Arabidopsis thaliana: one gene and its partner. The protein of the gene in region 1 interacts with the protein of each later gene in a pairwise test. Each region holds a gene or a part of one and is shown in the gene's direction. Other genes may lie near its edges.

Evidence for each region. The genes of interacting proteins can lie anywhere in the genome.
Region 2: the proteins of NHX4 (region 1) and ABCG10 interact in a protein complementation assay, tested with the Arabidopsis thaliana proteins (one large-scale study listed by BioGRID).

The regions. Positions count from the first base shown.
Region 1 is NC_003074.8:1,928,969-1,936,892, reverse strand, and holds NHX4 (sodium hydrogen exchanger 4), read left to right. Parts: upstream 1-2,819; 5' UTR 2,820-2,981; intron 2,982-3,255; exon of another isoform or gene 3,256-3,347; 5' UTR 3,348-3,377; coding exon 3,378-3,551; intron 3,552-3,632; coding exon 3,633-3,751; intron 3,752-3,823; coding exon 3,824-3,921; intron 3,922-4,014; coding exon 4,015-4,074; intron 4,075-4,157; coding exon 4,158-4,204; intron 4,205-4,292; coding exon 4,293-4,487; intron 4,488-4,553; coding exon 4,554-4,600; intron 4,601-4,692; coding exon 4,693-4,759; intron 4,760-4,838; coding exon 4,839-4,939; intron 4,940-5,032; coding exon 5,033-5,134; intron 5,135-5,208; coding exon 5,209-5,410; coding exon of another isoform or gene 5,411-5,452; exon of another isoform or gene 5,453-5,508; coding exon 5,509-5,592; intron 5,593-5,692; coding exon 5,693-6,055; 3' UTR 6,056-6,947; downstream 6,948-7,924. Other genes in the region: TLP9 (tubby-like protein 9), read right to left, coding at 219-509; AGP27 (arabinogalactan protein 27), read right to left, coding at 7,540-7,917. UniProt on the Arabidopsis thaliana protein: May act in low affinity electroneutral exchange of protons for cations such as Na(+) or K(+) across membranes. May also exchange Li(+) and Cs(+) with a lower affinity.
Region 2 is NC_003070.9:19,859,982-19,865,577, forward strand, and holds ABCG10 (ABC-2 type transporter family protein), read left to right. Parts: upstream 1-2,839; 5' UTR 2,840-2,896; coding exon 2,897-4,669; downstream 4,670-5,596. Other genes in the region: AT1G53260 (uncharacterized protein), read right to left, coding at 1-79, 211-276, 359-440; AT1G53265 (uncharacterized protein), read right to left, coding at 1,117-1,494; DJ1B (Class I glutamine amidotransferase-like superfamily protein), read right to left, coding at 4,961-5,158, 5,311-5,451, 5,538-5,596.

The DNA.
Region 1 (7,924 bases):
AAAAGTACCAATACTTCAGCTTACAAAACCAAGAAACTGTTTATCTATATATCAATGATCAAAGAGACTAAAAGCTTTTGTTGAGCTGAGCACAAGAACACTTAAAACGCGACCGCAAACGCTACTGAATTGTCATATGTTATGAGATGAAGTAAAGGAGCTAACTTTATGTTTCAATTCGATCACTTTATACTCAAAAATCAAAATTTACAGAGAACCTGCTTGAGGGAGATAGGGAAAGTCAATTTAGAGGAGAATTCAGGAACAGCTACAATCTCCTTGGTGAGAATCCTCCAGCTACGACAAACGCCGGCACAAGCCACCACGTTTCGCCGCGACGGCCAATCGCCGCCGTCAACAGTCTCAACCCTAATCAGGATTTCTCTAAGCAGCTCCTCCGGGAGCTCCGACCAGCTGAAAGGGTCTGAACTATTAGCGGTTGAGGCGGCGGCGTGAACTACACGGTGTGGCCTAGACCGCATTTCCTGGAGTAAACTTCGGAACGTCATGCGGTGAGATCTATAGAGGAGTTTAAGAGATGATTGATGATGAAAACATGATCTGGGTTTGATGAATATTATACGAGAGAATCATTTGGTGTGAAGAAGAAGGTAGGAGAAGTGGTGTTGGTGAGAGACGCGAAGAAGATTCGGACAATAATGGTGATTTGGAGGCGTTTCCTTTTTCTTCTTCATCTTCTTAAACGCTTTTACCGCTTTATTAGAGAATTTGTACTTTTTCTTCTATTATTCGCTGATAGGATAAGGATGATAAACCTGTGTGGAAAAAACAACAACAAAAAATGATAAACATGACGTTTTTGGTATGAGTTTGATCTTAAATTCACTTATTTTTTCATATAATCCGTTGACTAGTTTTATCCACTACTATATAAACTAAAACTAGACTAGATAAAGCCGCCTCATTAATTGCACGAATTTGTCAATAAAATTAAGAAAAAAACAACTACTGTATACGTTTCGGTGGTGATCAAATCTTCATTTTCGTAGATGAGGAATGACCAAAATATTTTAACCATTGATCACTAATTCAGAATCTATTTTTTGTTGTTGTTGTGTAACAGCTAAAATTGAAAATCAAAAGATACTTTTGACCGGCCATAATGTGGAAGTCATTAATGTGTCTTACACTATCAATCTATCATCATTCGTTACTTCTTCTTCTACATTCCTTTTCTTTCTTCTTTCTTTCTTAAGAAAACAAAACTAAATAATCCAAGTAGCTAAACTATAGATTCGTTACTTTTCACTGTATGAGTATGAGGCTGAAATATTTCCAATTGTCAACACTTATTTATACATGTATTATAGTTATATGTCATATACATGTAACATGTGTGGCGTCTTAAAAGAAAAGTAAATAGATAATAATAATGTAGATCGGAGAGACACAAAAGCAGACCACGAGGCATTCAAAATGCCAAACTAAAGGGTCACATGTTTGACCCACTACTATAACTAATCTGCTGTTAATGTTTCAATATCCATGTACCATGGGATTGGTTCATTCACATTTGACCAACCAGTTAAGCCTCCCAATAGCTTTGAAAAACTCTCTAGTTTTTCTTTTCTTTTCAATGGATCGGACATGTTAACAACGTTCATAGATATTAATACAATAAACTGAAAACAATAGTTTACCAAAAAATCATAAAACTACATTGTTTTGTTTCGTGTATATGTTAGATGCCTGTAATCTAAGAATTTATACTAGTTCTATTGCCCTGTACATGTTTTTCTTACCCTTACCGAAAAATTGAACTTTTAGCCTTGAATTCTAAGTTTCTTGGTCTTCAAACAATTGAACTACCTATTTTTATGTTTCAAGATGGTTTTTGATTTCTTATTTAGAATACAAATTTTGCATCTCTAACAAAATAATGAAGATGAAAGGAATTTACACGATGAAAAAGGATAAATCGAGACGTACAATGATGAACCCTTAATCATGTTGACCCCCAAAATGGGTACACTAGAATTGGCTTTTGCCCTCTCTGTAAGTGCAAAGAATAAGAACAGTGAAAGAAAAAATCGAACAAACAAACATCTGGGCGACTAGTATTATCTAATTATTCATATTACAAAAGCTATTTCCTTGTAATGATGAAGATGAATAAGTACTCTTTTTACATCCAATATTTTAATCAAGACCCAAAAATTAGTACATATAGAAAACATGACAAAAAAAAAAAAAAAAAACGACCAAGAAAAAAAGAGTCCATAATTATTAATTAGTACATATGTAGATTACCAAGAAATTCTCTATTTGGTATTTATTTTTCATCAGAGATTCGTGGAAACCTTATTAAAAAATGACCAACTTATATTTAATTATCAAGTAAACGTCGAATGACATAAGAAAGAACAACCCCCATCTATCACAATTAATATAATTCAAATAAATATTTTGGGGTCAGTTTATGAAACTGGTTATCATTCAAAGTACGTAATTTAGTTCTGTTAAGGAAGTATTTGGCTATTATGTAATACGGTGCCATAAAAAGAATACAGTACAAACAGTATATTATTCAGTTTTATTCCTAAAAAGAGAATAATCCTAAGATCATTTACATTTGGTCATAAGAAAAATAAAAGCGTGTTCCCCTCTGTTGTTTTTTGATACTCCTTTTACACGACAACATGATAACCAATGAGCTAATTCCACTTACGGTCATAACAACGGTGTAACAAAATCATCTCAACCGTTTAATTGGAATAAAGTTCTTGAGATGGATAAATAGACGATGGAGATTAGCTAATATGAGATTTAAAAGCCGTTGACCTCTCTCTATTCCACTTGGCTTCTCTGCAAAAAAAATCTTTATTTATATATTTACGCCATCTTTGGCGGTCTCTCGTCTTCGATCGTCTCTTTGCTGTCCCTTCAACAGAACTGTTACATCCCTCTCTACGACCAAACTGAATCATTCGATCTTTCGAATCTCGTCATAACTCTGCCAGGTAATATGTGTTTGAATGCTTTATCGATTTTTTCTTAAAAACATTTCTGTGGATGCTTTTTAATTTAGATCCTTTTACTGTTCATGGAGGTGATAAATTGAGCTCTTGTTGATGAAGATTGATAAATTACATGTTTCCTGACACAAACTCTAAAGGAATTTTCAAATTTTCTTGGAATTTTCCAGGGTTTTGATTCTTCTGGAACATTATGATTTTGGAATGTTTTATTATTCCCCTATTTAGGAATTTTAGTGATTTGAATTTTTCTCGGCGGCTAAAGAAGGAAACTATACAATTTTAGATACTAATTCAATCAGAAATCTAAATTCCACAAATCACGCTTCGTGTTTTTTTACATATATATAGGAAATATACTCTTAAAGCTGAGATTTGGAAATGGTGATCGGATTAAGCACAATGCTGGAAAAAACAGAGGCTCTTTTCGCTTCTGATCATGCATCGGTCGTCTCCATGAATTTGTTCGTAGCTTTGCTTTGTGCTTGCATCGTGCTTGGTCACTTGCTTGAGGAGACTCGGTGGATGAACGAGTCAATCACTGCTCTTATCATTGTAAGCTTCGTTTTTTTTGTTTCCCCAAATCTTTAAACACATTGCTTAGAAACATTCTAAATTTGGATTACGCAAAAATAGGGTTCGTGTACTGGGATTGTGATCTTGCTTATAAGTGGAGGCAAAAGCTCAAGGATTCTTGTGTTTAGTGAAGATCTCTTCTTTATTTATCTTCTTCCACCAATTATATTCAACGCAGGGTAAGTTCTTTTTATATAGAATTTCATGAAAAATTGAAAGTCGGAATTGAGTAACACATTTTTTTGTTACAGGTTTCAGGTTAAGAAGAAGCAATTTTTTCGCAACTTCATGACCATTATGTTATTTGGTGCTATTGGAACTCTCATTTCATTTGTTATCATCTCATTTGGTAAAAAACCAATCTCAATCAACTCCCACATTTCAATATCATGAGTCTCATATATTTTGATGATGTTTCCGGTTTTGTTTTTGTTATGGCTAGGTGCTAAACATCTTTTCGAGAAAATGAATATCGGTGATCTTACCATTGCGGACTATCTAGGTACCCTGAAACAAAGAAAACCCTTTTCAAGTTCTTATTCATTAAGTCTCATACTGTTTAAATCTGTACTGATGATTTTGCAGCCATTGGAGCAATATTCTCTGCTACAGACTCTGTTTGCACCTTGCAAGTAAGAACTTTTTTTCTGAAACATTCAAAGATATTATTCTACTACATTTTCTAATCAAAAATTAACTTGCACGCTTTGTTAAATCTAGGTGCTTAATCAAGACGAGACACCTCTCTTGTACAGTCTTGTCTTTGGAGAAGGTGTAGTGAACGATGCCACATCGGTCGTGCTCTTCAATGCAATACAGAGATTCGACCTCACAAATATCAATTCAGCCATAGCTTTGGAGTTTGCTGGAAACTTTTTTTACCTCTTTATCTTAAGCACAGCACTTGGTGTTGCAGTAAGTTTCTTTCTCTCCGCTCCTCAAATTTCTAAACCCGAAAAATTCTCACTCGTTTTCTTTTAGGCTGGATTGCTCAGTGCTTTTGTTATCAAGAAGCTCTATATAGGAAGGTATATTCGTATCTACTGATGGTTAAAAATGTGATTTTACCCTTTCTTTAATAATCCTTTTGCTTTGTTTTTGTTTTGTTTTGTAACATCAGGCACTCTACTGATCGTGAAGTTGCACTTATGATGCTATTGGCTTACTTATCATATATGTTGGCAGAGGTAATAAGAAAAATTTGAAACGTTTTGGTTACATTTTTTCCAACAGAAAATGAAAACATGATACATATATCCTTTGCAGCTATTCCACTTGAGCTCTATCTTGACTGTGTTCTTCTGCGGGATTGTTATGTCTCACTATACATGGCACAATGTTACAGATAAATCCAAGGTCACTACAAAGTAAGTTTCTTTTTCTTCTCCCAATAATTAGAAAATAACTCTACTAATTTGTTGTGCTTGATTGACTAAACTGTATACGTTTTCTTGGCGTAGACATACTTTTGCTGCAATGTCATTTCTAGCTGAGATTTTTATCTTCCTTTACGTTGGAATGGACGCTCTCGATATCGAGAAATGGGACGTTGTACGCAACAGGTGAGACTTAGAGTGTGATAATACATCAATATCTTTTGTTTCATTTTCATAATATTGTTTAACAATTTTGGCAGTCCTGGTCAGTCGATTGGAGTTAGTTCAATACTTCTTGGGCTTATTCTTCTGGGTCGCGCCGCGTTCGTGTTTCCACTTTCCTTCTTGTCCAATTTAACAAAGTCTTCACCGGATGAGAAAATAGACTTAAAGAAACAAGTAACCATTTGGTGGGCTGGTCTGATGCGTGGTGCAGTGTCAATGGCTCTTGCTTATAACCAGGTTTTGATCCGTGAACTACAAGAAACAAAGATAAAAAAGTGATCTTTGGGTTTTAATAAGTTCCCATGACTTAATCTCTTCTCTCTGTTACATCATAGTTCACAACTTCAGGACACACCAAGGTTCTTGGGAACGCTATCATGATCACCAGTACCATCACTGTTGTTCTTTTCAGTACTGTGGTACGTTTCAACACTTTGTTCAAACCGGTTTGCTTCCTACTGAAGTCAAATCGGGTTTAGCCTATCCAACACGTAACCTAATCTCTAACCTTTTTTGCAGGTGTTTGGATTGCTAACCAAACCGTTAGTCAAACATTTGCAGCCTTCATCAAAACAGTCCTCCACGACCGCGCTGCAGATCACACTAAGATCTTCTTTCCACGATCCGATCCTCCATGAGCCGTTGCTCAGTACCCAAGGCCAGTCAGAATACGACCCTGAACAACATGTTAGCTTCAGAATGTTCTGGAAATCTCCGTCCAGGGCCATTCATCATTACTGGAGGAAATTCGATAACGCAGTTATGCGTCGCATATTTGGTGGCCGAGGCGTTTCACCAGTAGTTCCAGGTTCACCCATTGAGAATAGTGTTCCGCAATGGAGTGAAGAAGTAGAAAACAAGGAACAAAACGGCGAACCTTGATGACCATAATGACATGAGTAAGATCTTTGACTTGTTGATCGCGTTTTTTGGCGTTGTTGGACGCAGACGCAACATGGGCCGGCTCTAATTTTTTGCCTCCAGTTTTGGTATAATGGTTTTGGATGTGAGTTCTTATTTGCCCGGTGTGATTTTTTGGTTTGTGGTGTGATTTTGTAAAGCCGGTCCGTTTTTCGTTGTTTGAGTTTGTGGTTTTGTTGAAAAATTGTAACTGTCCATGTAAATAGGGACTGATATAGGGGTGACTTGAGTACACCTAGCTCATATGCAGACGTTAGCGTCTGCGTTTGGAGATTCGAGTTTGCGTTGGTGGGACGTGAGCAGATTTTTTAATCTAAAGTTTGTGTACACTTTCTTGTACTTCTTATACAAAACAAAGGGACACGAATCTTTCTAATGTTCATAATTTATTACTGGGTTTTGCAAGAAACTTGTTGACAATATACAAATAAACTGATAACTTATATATAAATATAACTTTTGAGAAATCTAATCTTATTTTTATGCTTGCACGTATATAAGGACAAAGTGAGTGGGTATCAATCAACCTTATAGTAACATATACAATCTTTCACGCATAAAACCCTATAATGTGAAAACAAGAAACGTCCTTTACATATTTCTTCTCACCTAGATATTATTAATTTTAATATTGAGACTTTGAAACCCCAGAAATAAGATAAAGTGTGGGACAAGAAAAGAAGGCACCTTTTTTTGTTGTTGCTTTTAGCCGTGAGGCCAGCATATGCAGTAACTCACATGCATGCGCCTCTAACCTTGTGGCATTTTAGGAATTATGCAATAATGCACTATACTTAAATACGTTAATTCACAAAGTAATACATTCATTCAGTTCATAAACACGTCTCAAGATTAAGACAAAAATAATCATAAAAAACTGGTGTTTTACATAAACTTATGTCGAAATTAATTAGTAGTCTACATATAATTACTCAAGTGTTATTTGCATGTAAACAGTACAAATTTTTGGAACGTTTGATTTTGATACTACTATAAACTGCAGTATACTGTAAAGCATGCATATGACGTCACTTTAATTTGAAACGTAATTTCAACTTTTTCAAAAGGTTCTTTAGCTTAGCGATAAAAAAAAAAAAAAAAGTTAGTGTATAGTAAACGAACAAATGAAATGAAAAGAAGAGAAAAGTATAAGTCCTCAAAGTGTATTGAATCACTTAACGGTAAATTAGTTTTTATTTTTATTTTTATCCAGAGTTCTTAAGTTAATTATGCATCAATTATGTGGTTCTGACGTAATATATTACTTGCGTTTTTCATCTAAACCAATCTAAAACTGTAACAAAATGTTAAGTGGAGAACAATAAAAAATACAAATAGTAAAAAAAAATTGAAAATCAAACTAAATCTAATTTTATTCGTTATTTTTAGGGGACAAATAAACTCATGAAAATAATGACGTACGTGGTCTAAAATATATGAATGACCTATATAGCTGAAACGGCAAGAAGCCGGAGCGAGAAACAATAGACGGCGGCGAAGACAAAGTAGATGAAAACTCCGGGAGCTTGAGAAGACAGAGAAGCAAGAGATGAAGCCGGAGGAGAAGCCGATGGAGCGAAGGCGGGATCAGGATCTGCGGAAACGTCGTCGTTTTCTGGTTCAGGAAGTGTTGAAGAAGAAGGGATGGTTTGAGTGGAGGAGACGGCGGGTGAAGGGAGGAGAGGAGCGATCTCCGGTGAGATCTTTTCTTCAGAGGGAGAGATTGTTTGCGAAGATGGGATTGTATTTGTCGTCGGCGAAGAGAGAGAAAGTGAGGAGAGAAAGATGAAGGTGATGAGTGTTAGCAATATAGATGAAGCCATCTTTTTT
Region 2 (5,596 bases), on another chromosome or scaffold:
GCATTAGCATTGTTTCTTATCCATTCTTCATGATACTTTGGGTCATAAGGAACAGCCTTTCCATCAATGAAAGGTTCTCCTGAAACAATCAAATTTCAGAAAACCCATCAAAAACTAATTACTACTCTCTGACAAGATCAAATCTTAGTGTCCCTTACAACAATGTATATTGTGACTAGAAAGCACAATCATCAGAGTTAAACAACATACCTCCATAGTCTTTATTCTTCCCATCCAAGTAGGAATCAGGAAGAACCCACTTAACCTTAGGCAACTCTGGATTGTTCACATACAAAAGTATAAGAAATCAATGCTTATAATAAACTCAAGCTAAGCAAAAGAATTAACAAGCTTTAACCTTTGATCTTATGTGAAAGATCTTCTGAAACAAGAGCTCCAAAAGCAAAGTAGCATTTGTGCGACACAGAGTAAATCTTCATCCTTGCCTCCTCTTCACTAAAACGCAAAAATAAGATACACACTTAACAAAGTAAGACTCTAGAAACAGATCAAAGAACACTGTGGAAATGGATCTATATATATACCTGCCAACAACTTGAGCTAGGGTTTTGATGTAGTAATCAATAATCTCGTCTCTAGAGAGATTTCCATGACAACAAACCAATGCTCGAAATCACAACCATCAAGCAAAATCGTATCCTTTGGTGGCCGATTCGACCAGTTAGGGCTCGGATCATTCAGCGAAGCGGAAGTAACCTGCGTAGACATACACCTAGCTAGAGATACACCGGCACGGACCAACGCTGAGAATCCAGAAACGAGAGAACGTGAACGATTCAACAACGAAGACGCAGATCGAGAAACAGTAGGGGAATTGGCGAGAGGAGATGACGAAGAGAAGGAACGAGTGAACAGTGAGGAAAAGGATTTAGCTGGCCGGTGAAGGATGGAACGAGAAATCGCCATTGGAAGATGATAAAAATGGAGAGGTTTTAGTGAAAATGGAAAAACCCCAAGCATAAATGGGTTTAGATGGATCTTTCAAATTTCAAGGATATTATGTAAAACTAAAAATTGTAGTACATATCATTACTATTTTACATTATTTTCAAAATCGTCCCATTGTTATTTCAATTGACATGAGAAACCCATTTGTCACGAAATCATCATAAACAACCATATGTTGAATTCTTCTCTTTCGTCGAGGTTAGTAGAGAACATATCTGGTTGCTCAGTGGGAGTGACATTAAAAACGTCGTCTATGTATTGTAGATTAGGTATTTCAATGATACCTAGTTGAGGATCTCTCAAATAGCTTATAATCTTTGGTAGGACAAGATCCTCCATATTCGTATGCAAATGGACATTGGCAAAGTTATGTGGTAGCTCATATTCCCGTTCTGCTAAGGCCATCTTTTTGTGCTCTTCAGAGCAATACCGAGATTCAGGTGCGTAGACACATGTACAAGACCAGTACGCGAAGGCCTTATCTTTATGCACATAATGCATAACACGAAGATTGGCAACACCCATTGCAGAAACCTGCTAATACACATTGTTAGGTCTAGAGAAAAAAACTCTCTCTCGCAACTTTGAAGATTTTGTTTGCTCTTTGGATTGTCGAGATTGTTTCATTTCGTGTTTTTATATTATTTTTTACTTTTAGTTTTGGATTTGAATCTTAGGTTTAAAAAAGAAAAAGAAAAATTGTGATCAAAACGACATGGTTTGATTGAAGATGATGCTAATTCATTAAACATGGGTCATTTGAGTCGACGTATGTTAGTATTAACTAACATTTGTTATTGCAGATCCTAAAATACGTGCGACCTATAAAGTTTGGATATAATTTTTTTTTTTTTATGAATTTGGGTAAAGAATTAACATTGTACAGTATGTTTTATATAAGAAAACAATACTTTGCAAATTGTACTGGTATAAAAATATCGTTTTTCCAGTCACCCGCTTACGTTTGGTCCAAGTTGTTTTTAATTTTATACCGAATTAAAGTTTATTAGTCACAACTTTAAGTGTTTTTTCCAAACCCAAATCAAAATTCGATTTTTTTCGTCACAACTTTGAATCAGCCCCTTCACCTTTGCAGCCACATCTAACCGAATGCCCACCTAGACAACATCTTATAATGCGTCTTTTTATTATTATTATCCAAAAATAATTAAATTAGTGAGGTTTCTTACGTGATTATTCCTTGTTAATTAAACATCTGAATTTCCGTAAGCGAGTTCGAAACACGTAATTAAATATTGTAGGTAATATATAACAACCAAACTGGGTTTCCTCTCTTTCTTTGTTAGAAAAAACTAATAAATTAGATAAAACAAGTTCACCAACAAGGCAAACATTTCACGGTCAATTTTTCAGCTCACCCGAATTTGAGAATCTCTAGACGAAACCAAATCTCTTTCTAACTAATTCTTTTTTTGCTTTTCTTGTACCTCTTCACAATTTCAAAACCCAATTAAAAAAAAAAAAAAAAAAGAACCAACTACATATCTTAATTTCTTAGATATTTTTTTTGGTCAACCAATTTCATTAGAAATTAAAAAATACAAGAAAAACAACAAATGTTTAATTTCATATAAATTTATCTAACTGTATCAATATTATTTACGAACAAATTCTTTATTAAGAAAAACAAATTAAGCATTTTAAGCTTGGAATCATAAATATCTTTGGTTTAATTTAGTCATAGTCAAGTGCTTTTCGGTTTTCATGGAAGGCAATAAGAGAAAGCTAATAAAGTCTTGAAGCTTTTGAATGTTTGAATAATAAAGGAGAGGTTCCTTAAAGTTTGGTGTGTTAGTTCATCTTCTCTACCATTTATTCTTCACTTAATCTCACACTCTTTGCTCAATTTGTTGATTTCTCTATCTCTCAAAGTTTGATGCTTTCTTTTTCCTTCTTTCTTTCTTAGATGGAATTGCCGGTAAAAGCTCCTATTCCCGGTGGCCGGGAAATCTCATATAGATTAGAAACCAAGAATCTGTCGTATAGAATAGGCGGAAACACTCCAAAGTTTTCTAATTTATGTGGTTTGTTGAGTGAGAAGGAGGAAAAGGTTATCTTAAAGGATGTTTCTTGTGATGCAAGATCCGCGGAGATCACTGCGATCGCGGGTCCAAGCGGAGCAGGGAAAACCACGTTGCTGGAGATTCTAGCCGGAAAAGTTTCTCATGGGAAAGTTTCAGGGCAAGTGCTTGTCAACGGTAGGCCTATGGATGGTCCTGAGTACAGGAGGGTTTCAGGGTTTGTGCCACAAGAAGATGCTCTGTTTCCGTTTCTTACGGTGCAAGAAACACTGACGTACAGCGCACTCTTGAGGCTGAAGACAAAGAGGAAAGACGCGGCTGCAAAGGTGAAGAGGCTGATTCAAGAGCTTGGTCTAGAACATGTTGCGGATTCAAGGATCGGTCAAGGATCAAGATCTGGAATCTCTGGAGGAGAGAGAAGAAGGGTTTCTATTGGAGTTGAACTTGTTCATGATCCAAATGTTATATTGATCGATGAGCCAACCTCTGGTTTGGATTCTGCGTCCGCTCTTCAAGTTGTGACGCTTCTCAAAGATATGACGATTAAACAAGGTAAAACCATTGTTCTGACGATTCACCAGCCTGGTTTTCGCATACTCGAGCAGATAGACCGGATAGTGTTGCTCTCTAACGGGATGGTTGTTCAAAACGGATCAGTTTATAGCCTTCATCAGAAGATTAAGTTCTCCGGTCACCAGATTCCTAGGCGGGTAAATGTCTTGGAGTATGCAATTGATATTGCAGGGAGTCTTGAACCGATCAGAACCCAGAGTTGCAGAGAAATCTCATGTTATGGTCATAGCAAAACATGGAAGAGTTGCTATATTAGTGCAGGAGGAGAGCTTCATCAATCTGATTCTCACAGCAACTCAGTGTTAGAGGAAGTGCAGATACTCGGGCAAAGATCTTGCAAGAACATCTTCAGAACCAAGCAATTGTTCACAACCAGAGCCTTACAAGCTTCCATTGCCGGTCTTATACTGGGGTCGATTTACTTGAACGTAGGAAATCAAAAGAAAGAAGCGAAAGTCTTGCGAACCGGGTTCTTCGCCTTTATCCTCACTTTCCTGCTATCTTCCACAACAGAGGGACTTCCAATTTTCTTGCAAGACAGGAGAATCCTAATGAGAGAGACATCGAGAAGGGCTTACAGAGTTTTGTCTTACGTTTTAGCAGATACTCTCATATTCATTCCCTTCTTGTTGATCATAAGCATGCTCTTTGCTACGCCGGTTTATTGGCTGGTCGGTCTCAGAAGAGAGCTAGACGGCTTCCTCTACTTCTCATTGGTGATATGGATTGTTCTTCTGATGTCAAACTCTTTTGTCGCATGTTTCAGTGCTCTTGTCCCAAACTTCATAATGGGGACATCAGTAATCTCAGGTCTCATGGGATCTTTCTTCCTCTTCTCCGGGTATTTCATTGCAAAGGACAGGATCCCCGTTTACTGGGAGTTCATGCATTATCTCAGCCTCTTCAAGTATCCATTCGAATGCCTGATGATCAACGAGTATCGAGGAGACGTGTTCTTAAAACAACAAGACCTCAAAGAGTCTCAGAAATGGAGCAATCTTGGTATCATGGCAAGTTTCATCGTCGGGTACAGAGTCCTTGGATTCTTCATCTTATGGTACAGATGTTACAGAACAAGAAGCTAGGTTAATAACAATGATCTGCAGATATAATTCAATTTGTTTTGTAATTTTATAAGAAATTTTACTTTCTCATATTCTTTCTTTTTGTTCAGCACTTTCTTATATTCTAAAATTCGCAATGTAAAGTAACAAAAAAACTTTCTGATAAAAACAGAGTAAACTCGTTTATTTATAAGACAGTTTTAAGCATCACACTTAGTACAAAGCTCACCACAACAACGGTACACTCATTGATCGTTTGATACTAAAGCCTTTTTCTTATTAAAGTCACTCTTACCTAAGATACTCATGAGTTTACACAAGTGTTGCCTTTGAGAGCTGAAGTCCTTTCTCGCGCCCGTAAAACTTCTCTACAATTGCAAGTGCAAACTCCAATGAGGTTCCTGGACCCCTGCTCGTTATGAGATTGCCGTCCACCAAGACTCGATGCTCGATGTGACTCTGGTCCGTCAGTTTGCTGCACATTGCTGGAAACGCTGTTGCCTTCTTACCCTGTAAAAAAATCCATTAAAAATTGTGACCCTTCCCTTAGTTTTAAGTGCAAAAATAACGGTTTGATAACAGAATACTCCATGCCATCGGATATATAGTAATGATCCTACACATCTAAGCAAATGTGTGTGCTATTGTGATTACTCTCGTACCTTGAGTAAACCATGTGGCTCAAACACCAGAGCAGGAGAGGCACAAATTGCTCCATATGGTTTGTTTGATTCCGCCTGCTTCTTTAACATATTCACTAGCTTCTCCGAACTTGCAAATGCTTCAGCACCGCCGAGACCACCCTGATAATAAAAAGAGAAGTTCATCATGTTGGCCTCAACTTGCTTGACACTATAAACTTTAGTAATTTGAAGAAGTTAGCACTCACAGGCAACACAATCAGATCGTACGAATTCTTTTCAGCCTCGTCGAGAAGCACATCTGCCA